Elephas maximus indicus: one gene and its partners. The protein of the gene in region 3 purifies or fractionates together with the protein of the main gene of each other region. This does not show direct contact. Links are inferred from orthologs where the notes say so. Each region holds a gene or a part of one and is shown on either strand. Other genes may lie near its edges. The genes, in order: URGCP, SMC2 and HECTD1.

What was found.
Region 1: the proteins of HECTD1 (region 3) and URGCP purify together in Homo sapiens (affinity purification with mass spectrometry; 4 studies listed by BioGRID and IntAct, with this or other methods). This does not show direct contact. The link is inferred for Elephas maximus indicus from reciprocal best matches to the Homo sapiens genes HECTD1 and URGCP.
Region 2: the proteins of HECTD1 (region 3) and SMC2 purify together in Homo sapiens (affinity purification with mass spectrometry; 3 studies listed by BioGRID, with this or other methods). This does not show direct contact. The link is inferred for Elephas maximus indicus from reciprocal best matches to the Homo sapiens genes HECTD1 and SMC2.

Annotation. Positions count from the first base shown.
Region 1 is NC_064826.1:121,605,173-121,608,918, reverse strand, and holds the start of URGCP (up-regulator of cell proliferation), read right to left. Parts: upstream 2,800-3,746; 5' UTR 2,601-2,799; coding exon 2,587-2,600; intron 2,410-2,586; exon of another isoform or gene 2,239-2,409; intron 1-2,238. UniProt on the Homo sapiens protein: May be involved in cell cycle progression through the regulation of cyclin D1 expression. May participate in the development of hepatocellular carcinoma (HCC) by promoting hepatocellular growth and survival.
Region 2 is NC_064827.1:53,702,987-53,706,732, reverse strand, and holds the start of SMC2 (structural maintenance of chromosomes protein 2), read right to left. Parts: upstream 2,929-3,746; 5' UTR 2,760-2,928; exon of another isoform or gene 2,721-2,759; intron 1,965-2,720; 5' UTR 1,905-1,964; coding exon 1,737-1,904; intron 1,101-1,736; coding exon 951-1,100; intron 1-950. UniProt on the Homo sapiens protein: Central component of the condensin complex, a complex required for conversion of interphase chromatin into mitotic-like condense chromosomes.
Region 3 is NC_064828.1:43,628,974-43,632,719, reverse strand, and holds the start of HECTD1 (E3 ubiquitin-protein ligase HECTD1), read left to right. Parts: upstream 1-1,609; 5' UTR 1,610-1,700; intron 1,701-3,111; 5' UTR 3,112-3,132; coding exon 3,133-3,272; intron 3,273-3,746. UniProt on the Homo sapiens protein: E3 ubiquitin-protein ligase which accepts ubiquitin from an E2 ubiquitin-conjugating enzyme in the form of a thioester and then directly transfers the ubiquitin to targeted substrates.

The DNA of each region.
Region 1 (3,746 bases), on a different chromosome or scaffold from region 3:
TCTCCACTTAGCTCCAAATACACTGGTCAGTGGGTCACCTCTCAAACATATCTTTCCCTCTGAAGTCTACATTCTTGCCATTTCCTTAAGCACAATTACGAAGGTCCTCAAAAATTGTTAGGATTTCCTCTTTCCTCTCCAACTCTCTCATGGAGGTTGCCACACAGAAAAGAACGGGTTTTGGAGACTCACCACTCCCCTCCTACCCTTGCCTGTCCCTTGAAATTTTTTTCTACCGCACCTAGTCTAGTAGGCTTAAGGTTAGCTGCTTAGCTGACCAAGACAGGCCACAGAATCCCAGGAGACTGTCTCCCTGGCTGGACTGGGCCCACCAGCGAAGCCTATACAGTGGACAACCTAGATAGGTCCAGAAACATGGACTGTCCCCAAATGTGTATGTACCATAATAAGAGCATAATTCTCCCCTAAAATGAATTAAAGCATACTGAAAGTTTTGTGACCCTAGCTTTGCAATGGGTGCCACTCAGAAAACTACAGATTACTACAGATTGCTGACTCATGGAGTAACTCACAAATAGTTGAAATTGTAAATATTAAATCTGCACTCATGCTACCTACTACAGAGATATCATTTAGGACCTATCTGGCTCACAGAAGGGGTGCCAGCCCAGCATTAAGTCCACCTCTGACCCATGTCTACAAAGCAATGTACTTGGGTGCCAAAGCCTACATGGCCTGGACTAGCCACAGTTCATCATGATTCTTAAGAAAAGCATCACAGCAGCCTGACACAGGCCCCAACACCATCGCTGCTGCCATTAGGCTCGCCAGCCTCACTCTCTTCTGATAAACAGAGCAGGAATGCAGGGGACATTGAACCCCTGAGTAAATTGGTCTAGACTTCCCAGGGATGGGCCTATTTATTCCATTTATGAGGTCAAAGTACTGGGTACTCTGCTGGACCGGTGTAACATTAAGGCTAAGGGTCCCTTCAAGAATCAGATAAAGGCCACAGACTTTGGTCCCAGGAAAACACACACCACCCCCAACGCTGCATACAATTACAGGGAACACAGAGACCCCAGAAGCCCATTCATGAATCATGGACCCTAGGTTAAGAGCCCCAGACCGAGATGACAGTTAAAGCCATAGAGATGGATATGATCATGCAGAAAGAACGTGTTGTAGCAGAGATTGACTACAGAAACAAGGAAAAGCCAACACTGAACAACCAGGCAAACGAGAATCTGGTCAGGCAGGTAAGGAATAGTCCTAGTAGTTTTAAGAAAGCCAAGCAAGGACTCCCTGGCCCAGGACTGACCATTGCCCTCTAAGCCTAGAGAGACAGCAGGCAGATGGAAACTGCCCAAGGCCTGGCTACAGTCTGGAGGCCTGGCTTCAAATCCCAGCTTGCTCACTAAGGCCCATTTCACTGAGCCAAATCACTGCACCTGTAAAAGAGGCATTACAGTACCCATAGTTTCTACCTCACAGGCCTGATGGTAATATCTGTGAAAGCCCTTTGTGAACTATAAAGATGTACAACTTTAATTGTTCACAGTCACTAGGCCTAAGACCCTCTGAGTGGTGGGCAACAACCAAATGAAGAATTTGCCAACCAAGGCATTGCTTTGGGGGCCTAATTTTCCTCCTCTATAAAATGAAGACATTAGATTAAGTGTCATCCCCAGATTTAAAGGACCACTAACCAAAACAAAAAAGTAATAATAACGGATTTCTGGGGTTTTTATTTTGCCAAGAGAAGATTAGGGGAAAAAAAAAAAATTACAAACTATGTCTGTCACCACCATTTCCTAAAAGAAAACGCATTCTTAACACCAAAACAGGGGAAGGGAGGCGATGTTAGGATACGGCAGTCCTGAGGGAAGGCCCAAGGCCACAGTCTGACCAAGGAGACCCTGGGACGCCTTCGGAAGCGCTTGGCAGCAAAGTGTCGGTACGCTCTCAGCCTGACATTCTGTGGCATTCAGGTTACGTCCTAAGGACAGCGAAAACCAAACATAAACTCCACGCGAGCAAGTTTAAAAAACAGAGATGCCAGAAATCTGAGGACCTGTGTATTCGGCGCCCTGGGGTCAAACCGCTCACAGGTCTCCCTCAGCACACTTCCCCGCCCGGCCCGAAGGCCCACACCCGGCTCTGCACCCGGCTCTGCACCCTGCCCCGCACCCCGCCCGGCACTCCGGCACGCGACCCCACCCCACACCCCGCCCCGCATCCCGCACCAGGCCCCACATCCCGCGCCACCTGCCGCACCTGGGCCCGCGGCCCCGCACCCCGGGCCGGGCCGCTCTCCCTCAGCCGCCCTCGGCACAGTGACTGCGCGCACTGCCCCGCGGCCTGGCGCTCCTTCTACGCACACCGCCTCGGCCACGGCAGCGCCCACCGCGTCCGCCCAAGGTCGGCAGGACCCGGCCTCCCGGCCGGAAAGGCTGCAGGCCGGGCCCGGCCGGTCGGGGCGGGTGGGGAGGGAGTCCCTCTGGCCGGGCTGGGTCACAGGCCCGGGCGGGCGCGGTGGGCTCGGGGCCCGGAGACCCCCCCAACCCACTCCTTCGCGGCGCGGACGCAGCGGCTTCGGTCCGGCGCTCCGAGTGCGGCACTCACCCGGGCGACGCCATGAGCGCGGTGAGGTCGCGGCTCCCGCCTCCTCCGCTTCCTCCGCGCGGCGACTCCGCGCCGGGGAGGGGCCTCCGCCCGCCGCCTCGGGCCACCCGTTCTGGGCCACGCTCCAGGCAGAGCGGCAGGGCCGGGGGCGGCCCGCGCCCCGCGCTCCGTGCCCCCGACTTCCCCGCGCCCGCCCCGGTGATCAGAGACACGCCGGGTAGCACAGGCGGGGCCAAACCTTCCCGGGGCCACAAAGCAGCCGCGGGGTCAGGCAAATTCCACCCCTCCCTGAGACTCAGGCTTGATTTCCGTAAGAAAAGCTTTTTGTTTAGCCCTGGAGGGTAATGCATTGTTATTATTATTATTAAGCAACAAAGATAATTTTCCTATTCTTACTTGCTCTGTAGTCTTGGACAAGTTGCTGGCCTCTCTGTGCCTCAGTTACCCCATCTAAAATGTGGGTAAGATCACATTGTGAAGTCCTAAGGGATGTGGGGCATTTTATTATTCTTTGAATTGTGTTATTAAGGAACGATGCGGTTTCATAGCTCCACCTACAGCTGTATATACTTAGGCAAGTACTTCTTGAGACTTAACTCCTGTCTCTGCAAAATGAGACTTCAGGAATAACTAAGCTTTTGTAAGTGAAAGGAGCCCTGGTGGCACAAGTGGTTAAGCGTTTGGCTGCTAGCCAAAAGGTCGGCAGTTTGAATCCACCAGCTGCTCCTTGGAAACCCTATGGGGCAGGTTTACTCTGTCCAATAGGGGGCTATGAATCAGAATCTACTCTACAGCAATGAGTTTTGTAAGTCAAAACACTTAAAATGTTCTGGACAAATGTAAACCATTGTTGATAGCACTTGTTGTTAGAACATTAAATACTAATAATCATTATCTTATTATCATTTATATTAATACTAACCTGAGACTGCAAAGTGGTGACTGAAAGCCTTGGCTCTGGAGCCATAGTTGGTAGTTGCCAAGGAGTTGGCTATAACAACAGAACAAAACATTGCCCAGTCCTGCACTATCCTCACAGTTCTTGATATCTTGAACCCATTGTTTTACGTGGAAATCCCAGGTTTTGCTTGGCATGACTCGTATTGGCCAATAAACAAGAGACTGAGTTGGGAGAGTGTAAACCCATTGCCACTGAGGCA
Region 2 (3,746 bases), on a different chromosome or scaffold from region 3:
AAACTGTAAGTGAAATCATGCTATGGGAGAAAGTAAATGGGCATTAACAGAATTAAAAAGAAAACCATGACAAGCTGATAACATGGTTAGAGTATAAGAAAAAAGTTTAAAAAGAGAAATGTATGGTCCTGCGTTGGTTTAAAGTAACTTAAAAGATACAAACATGGTAGTAACATAGCTTAGTGATACTGCACATATAAAAATTAAAAGTGGTTTTAAGTAAATTCAGTACGAATTTGTAAGGTATTATGAACCCTCCAATGCCACACTGCGTAATACAGAGGTAGAAAACCTAAAAGGAAAGAAGTTAACAATTTGACTTAATCCTGTTCTAACAAGACCAATGCTGGTATATGCTCGATTTGAGGCACAACTCATTTAAAAACAGAAAAAATTATAAAGAACTGGAACATATTTAGAGTGGTCATGCAAGTGAAGAAAATGAAAACAATTAAACATCAATTAAAAGAACTGGAGAGCTTTAGCTTAGAGTACAGCTAAGAATTAAATGCTGGAATATGGAATAAATAAGATTTGCTCTTGGAGCTCTCAAATATATAGATTAATGTATGAGGCTACAAAAAAGCAGACTCTGGCCAATTTATAGAAGCCCTATTTTAATTACACCTGTCCAAATGGAATGGGTTACCTCAGAGGACAGTAAGATCCCAGGTACTGGAGGTATTCTAGCACAGACAGAGAAGGTTCAAGTATGGTTTAAGATTCAAGTATGGTTGAGTACTTATACTGAATGGATAACTTCAGGCCCCTTTCGATTCTCTCAGTTAATGCTGGAATTTCCAAGATCAAAATTCTGACACAAAAAAAGTATTCTTGAAGAATGAGCCAGTATTTGAGGTGTCAATTCTACTCGTGACTTTTCTTTATCTCCTGCACTTTGTGTAAAGCCATATTACTAAAAATGGTATCAAATATGAGTAGTCACTCACCTGCCTTGTTATTGTGATTTCATCATGTACCTCGAATCCTAAAGGACTTTGCTTTTTATCAGAATTATCAAAGGTGATTGACACTGAGGCTTTGGTAATACCTGCCTGCCCATTCTTGTAAACTAAATCTTGTAAATTAGAAGCCCGAACCTAAAACAGAAGGAGAAAAATTATTAATTATAAAACCCCATAGTGCACAAAGTAGCAAATGTACTTCTTGCTTTTGGAAAGCCCACCTATGCTGCATCCATTAAGTAGTCAAGGATAAGTAGTGGCATCTACTGGCAAGGAAAACAGGCAAACTACAACGGGCACCTTTCTCTCTAGGACATCATCAACCCTGAACTGGTTTTCTACTGTTTCTTAGCAAAAGTCCATCGGAAAGATTTAAGGGAAGACAGTGCCTAAGAAATTTGCTATTCATTCACGCCCATTAGTAGTAGGTCCTCTACAGGCATTACAGTGCAGGAGAAAAAATACAGACTCCAGGATGAGGCTGCCTAAAGTAAGGATGTCTGAGTTTGAGTGTTGCTCCAGCATACCCTAAGAAGATGAACCTCAGGCAAATTTCTTAACCCGCAAAGTTTCTATTTTCTCATTTAAAAATAGAGTGATAATTGTACTCATCTTCAACAGTTGCAGTGAGATTTAAGATAATTCACATAACATACAAAACACAGTACTTAAATATCAAAGGAAAAAAGAATGGTAGCAATAGTTTCTAAGCTCAGTGAAGACTTCCTTGCCAAACTTAAATTCATACAAATTAGAAAGTTTACACTTTACCTGAGACAGGTTAGAGATGCCCAGCAAAAAGCAAATAGAGTCCAATATGTTGGATTTTCCACTACCATTTAAACCAGTGATAGCATTGAAGAGGGGGTCAAAACCATTGACTTCAGTCCTCTGAGCATAGGATTTGAATCCTTCCAGAATTATTGACTTAATATGCATTTTCACAATTGCCTTGGACTGGTAAACCTCTGCTACGATCAAACAGGTCACAAACTAGTTCTGTACAAAACAAAAATAACAAAATGTAAGTGGAAGGCAAGACTGGACTCATACTGAATGTGAAAGACTAAAACATAGGCATGACAGCCCAAAAGAAATAAAACAGCCACTTGCCAAGCTAACTCTGATGTAAAGATATCGTTCCCTTATTTAAAATCACGATAGAGTTAACCACGATTTAGAAGTTAATGAAACTTCTGCCTGGAACCCAAAGTCCTTAGAACTTTCCCGATTTACTTTTCTAGACCTGCCTTCTACCTCTATCATATTCTAGCTAAACTGATTATTTCACACCCTTTGCCTGTAAACTGCCCACCCCCGCCCCCCCGAAAAAAAAAAAACAATACCACGTGGCACTCTACTGCATTCACATCTTTTCTCAAAGGTTCTTCCTGACCTCCCCATGTAAAATTGCATTTCTGCTCATCTACTCACCCTTTCTTTTTCCTTCGTTGCACTTAAGGGTGATACTAGACCGTATTTGTCTGTCCCACCTATTATAATGTAAGGTCCCCTAAGATTTCTGTTTACATCCACCGCTCTATCCCCTAATAGTGACTGAGTCTGAGGGGTCGGTAAATAGACGAACCGCATATATTCTCCAGACTCCTGCTTCTACTCAGGCTGTTTGTTACCTCGCCTCACCAGGCTTTCTGCCAACACTCCCCCACCACACTCCAAAGCTGCACAGAAATGAGCCTTCCTGCCTTAATTCCCAACTGAGACCCTCCTTGCTACTCATCCACCCCAACCTACCGCCGGGAATACAAGGCCCAACCAGCCGCGCTCACGCACCGACCTCGTCGCTGCCTCAGGCCGCCTGGGCTAGAGACGCCCGAGGGCTCCGCGAGGCCACAAGGGTGGAGTGCGGGTGAAATTCGCCCGCCTTCGGGCGCTAGGATGTGTGCTCCACCATACCGGCTACAACACTCGCCCCGCGGCCAGCACCGGTGCCGGAACTATTTATTCCTTTGAATTTAGGCGCGAGCAAAGGACCCCGCCTCCACAGCCTATTTCCTCTGTTGGCGCCTAAAAGTTGCCTGATTTCCTCGTTCCATGTTTTCCCTACAATCTAGGGATCTAAATGACAGAGAGATGGGAAAGAAAGTTCTGGCCATGACAGTTCCGGGTACGCGGCGGCGCCGTCCTGGCTACCCCAAAAGTAAGCGGCATATGTTGATATGGGCGTCCGGCACACCTCGGGCAGACCCAAGCCTCAGCCTTGGGGCCTCGAGCTTCGTCAGCCCCGCCCCGCTCCAGGCCCCGCCTCTTTGCGGACCTCGCCTTGGAAGCTCCGCCTCCTCGAGGACCTGGCGGGCTGTGGGGCGGGCTGCGGCTGTGTCGGCTCACAGAGATGGGGAGGCCGGCAGGTGTGAAGGTTTTCCTCTGGGTGCCTTCGCTGTGTATTAGAAGCGTCAGAGAATCTCCGGGTTGGCCCAGATGCCACAGAAACAGAAGAGGCGCTTTGTTGGGACTGTGTGGGCGAGGGGATTCTGAGGACTCTGGGTCGCGCGCGTTCTGGCTCCGCCTCTCCTCGGCTTCTGACGGGGCGGGGGGGTTAATTCTCTGTTTTCACGTCCGGAGGAGGTGATGATACTCGCAGCCTACAGCTGTGCTGGGGCCCAGAGGAGAAGGTGGGGCGGGCAAGTAGGTGTTTGACGTTAGTAGTTAAGAAAAGGACTGTGCTTGGCAAGCAGGTGTTCGTCTTGCGTTGAAGAGCTGTATGTAAAGTTATAATGTACCGTGGCAGAACTTTCTTGGGGGATTTCAGGGAATTATATT
Region 3 (3,746 bases):
GTTCTGGAATTCCCATTCTTCACAATGTTATCCATAATTTTTTATGATCCACACAGTCGAATGCCTTTGCACAGTCAATCAAACACAGGTAAATATCTTTCTGGTATTCTCTTTCAGCCAAGCTCCATCTGATATTAGCCTTGGAGGCCCTGTGGGGGTAGTTGTGCTCTGTCCTGTAGGGTTGCTATGAGCTGGAATTGACTTAATGGCAATGGGTTTATTGTAGTTGTAACAAGATAGTGGAATCATTTACTTGGTTGATTTGTTAATAAGAGACTTAAGGGGCAATTACCCAAAAACTATAAAACTAGCTATATGAAGTGCAAATCTGCAATTTCCAAAACAGTGGTTCTTCAAACATACTTAGCAGTTCATCTGATTTCTTAAGGGAACCTGTCTCAAATAGTATCACAAACATTCATTTTTTTAAATCTCAAAGACGAAAAAGTAAGAACACAGCAAAAGTCTCTGGGAGCATCGGTTTCCTTGCCTCACGAAGGAAATTCATTTCTTGATTTTTTAAAAAGAAAGCTATCTTCACGTTTCCAGATAATTACATCCTAAACATCTCCAAGTATGTACTATAAGTAGGCATATTTTATTTTCAGGGCGTATGAAATGTAACTTTGAAGTGACCATAAGCTACCACTCAGTGCTGCTGCTTACTGGGGGTGCCTTTGTGTCTGAATTCATGTTTTCCGGAAGCCTCAGTTTTCTCATCTATACAATGGAGGTAACACTTGATAATACTTCCCAGGGTTCCTGTGAAAGGTTTTCTTTCTGGTGAACTGCAGGGCTGTTTGTCTCCCAGGACCGAAGGGAGGCGCTTTTCTTCACTGGAGGGCCACCAGCGCTCAGCTAATCTTTAGCCTAGAATTAACACTTCCATGTGCTAGGAGCGTGGCCAGAGGGGAAGGAGGAGAAGCGCTGGCGGAGTATTGGTCGCCGAGGCCGGAGGCTCACCACGAACAGGTTGGGCCGCAGCCTTGACGTGCAGCCAGGGCTGCCCGGTAAGTATGAACACACGGTGCAAAACAAGCTGAGCGTGCGTGCACGGTGGTGCGCGGAGTGCTGGGAGTGGCCTCCAACTGACAGCCAGACGAAAAGGACGCCAGAGCGGACGACAGGAAAACGGTGGCAAATACCCGAGGGAGCCCAAGGCCCGGGACCGAGAGCGCCCGGCAGGGGTTGAGACGCGTCCAGCCGCCGGGCGCCCAGGTTGGTGCCCGGGCGCGGTGGGCCGGCCCCTCTCCGCAGCGCCCCAGGTGGCCGCTGGCGGGGTCGCCGCCGGGAAAGCAGATTGGCTCCGCCTCCGCCAGGCTCGGCTGCCCTCGGCAGCTTCCCCCGCCCGGCTCTCGCTCGACCCTCTTCCCTTCCCCCTCCCGGATCGCGATGGACGCGGCCTCCTCCCGCAGCCGCCGGCAGAGCCGCGCGGGCCTCTGAGCCGCAGAGCCTGACGATCCTCGTGCTAGGGACGGACCCTGGCTGGCCGCCGCCTCTGGGGAGAACCTCTCGCTTCTCTGTCATCAGGTCCCCGTGGAGGAAGGGGAGGGACGAGGCGCGGCTTTTCCTGTGCCGCTTGCCTGGCTCGACCTGCGCGGCCTGCGGCTTCCTGGGAACTCGAGGGCCGCGGCCGGGCCTGACTCTGCCCCGCGGCCTGCTTGGAGCTGGACCGGAGTGGTCTGGGACTACAAGCCTGGGTAAGAGCCTGCGGGAAGGGGAGGCGGCAGCGCCTCGGGCCGTCGGAAGTGCCGGGCCTGGGGGCCGGCATCCGGGACGCCCGGCGGTGGGTCGGGAGCGAGACCTCCTTGCCGGGTGAGGCCGGCGGGGTTGCTCCTGTTCCCCTGCTTAGCCCCTTTGTTCCCCTCCCCCCGGCGCTGCCGCGGCGGGGCCCAGCTTACACACCGAAGCCAGAGCCCAAGGCAGGCCCCCCTTTGCCCTTGAGAAGGCTTCGGCGCCCGGCGGGGGCGAGGGATGTCCCGCCGGGCCTCGGAGTTCCGGACGCCGCTCCCGGGAGACCCGCCGCTTAGCCCAGCCCGACAGGCTCCTCTCGGGCACCGAGGCTTGCTGCTTCTCCTTCAGAACTTCCCCCTTCTCCTAGACAGAGGTGGCTAACTTAGCGGGTCTGGTGCTGGGAAACTGGAGGGCGGTGCTAGCGCCGCTTGGCACGGGCTTGGCCGGGCCCGGGATGTTGGGGTAACCCGGTTCGTCGCCGCCGTTGGGTGCCCACTGGGACCCGCCGCTGGATTCACACACCTGCAGTTGGGTGACGTGGGACCCAAAGCCGTCCTCCGGCCAGTTCGGGCGCTTACGAAGAGCTTTTGTGATGACTTGCCTATTGGGGTTGCTTCTCTGTTTTGTGTTACTGTATTATTATTTTTAACCAACTACCCATCCTGTGGGGGTGGGGGAAAGAGGGCAGTAGAGTGGCCTATAGTATTCTGATCCGTAACGTGTAAGTCCATTGCATTACTTTTAGCATTTCTCGTTAAAGTTTTTAGAATAGTTGTCAAGACTGCCAAAATTCCTAAACCAAGTCTTTGTTTATATATAGGTTATCTCATTATCGTTTGTATTTGGAGATCTTTAGAAAAGGAGTAAGTAAATTGGGAAGTCAGCAGAATTTGTAAAAGGAGAAAATCAATTTGGGAGGGATCCTACTGCTTAGAATCTACTCAAAATTGGATCTGACCTTTATCTGAAGATCAGTTTTGAGTAGGGGAGGGCCGAAGAAGTTTGCTGGAAAAAAAAGGGGGGGGGGCGGTTTAGTAGGTATTCTTTGCCTTTTTGGCACAGACATTAGTGATAGCAGTAGTGGGAAACGAAGCCTGTTTGACTGTCTTTGACAAAGGCAGCTCAGTTTCTAGTTAAGCAGCAACCTAATCAGCTTATACTGTTGTGCAAAACCGGTTTTTATTTAGTATGATATCCCAGTGTTAAGTCCCAGCAATAAGGGAAGTTGAGAAACGGCATTAGCACTCTGTCCAAACATACTTGTGAGTCTTTTCCTAGGAGGACAACATGAAAATTTGGCTCTAGCCGATGTAAAAGAAAGTTTTTAAACCCAAGCTGACATTTAAAGGGCCTTTTTTCCTTTTTTTTAAATTTAAGCAAAGAGGCTTTTAAAAAACCATGGCAGATGTGGATCCGGATACATTGCTGGAATGGCTACAGATGGGACAGGGAGATGAAAGGGACATGCAACTAATAGCCCTTGAACAGCTATGCATGCTGCTTTTGATGTCTGACAACGTGGATCGTTGTTTTGAAACGTAAGTACATCCCTTCATCATCTTTCTTTGGGGTTGCTGCAGTGACATCTGTTTTCAGCCGTTTGTTGACTTCAGTTTGTTTAGAAATTTCTCTAGTGAATTTTTGAGCTGTTGCCTTTTTAAAAGTTCCTACAGAATTTTCCATTTACGCTTTTCTGAGAAATAGAATTGGTAGATGAAGTAACTCCAGTGACTGTAATGGTGATGACACAAATATAGTTTTGTTGAGTGGATTGGTAATTAGTAGGAAATACTAATTTTAACCCATAGCTTGGTTGATGCATTTTCAAAATATGTTATTAAAGCTGGGTAAAATGCAGATATTTATCTTCTTTAAAGGTATCTATTTCTGTACTGTGAAATTGACTTACAGAATAACATAGATGATAATGAGCATATATGTTTTGAACTGCCCAGTCCTTCGTTGGTATTAGGTCATATGACATTGTACTTTTGTTAAAGCAAGCCATTTGT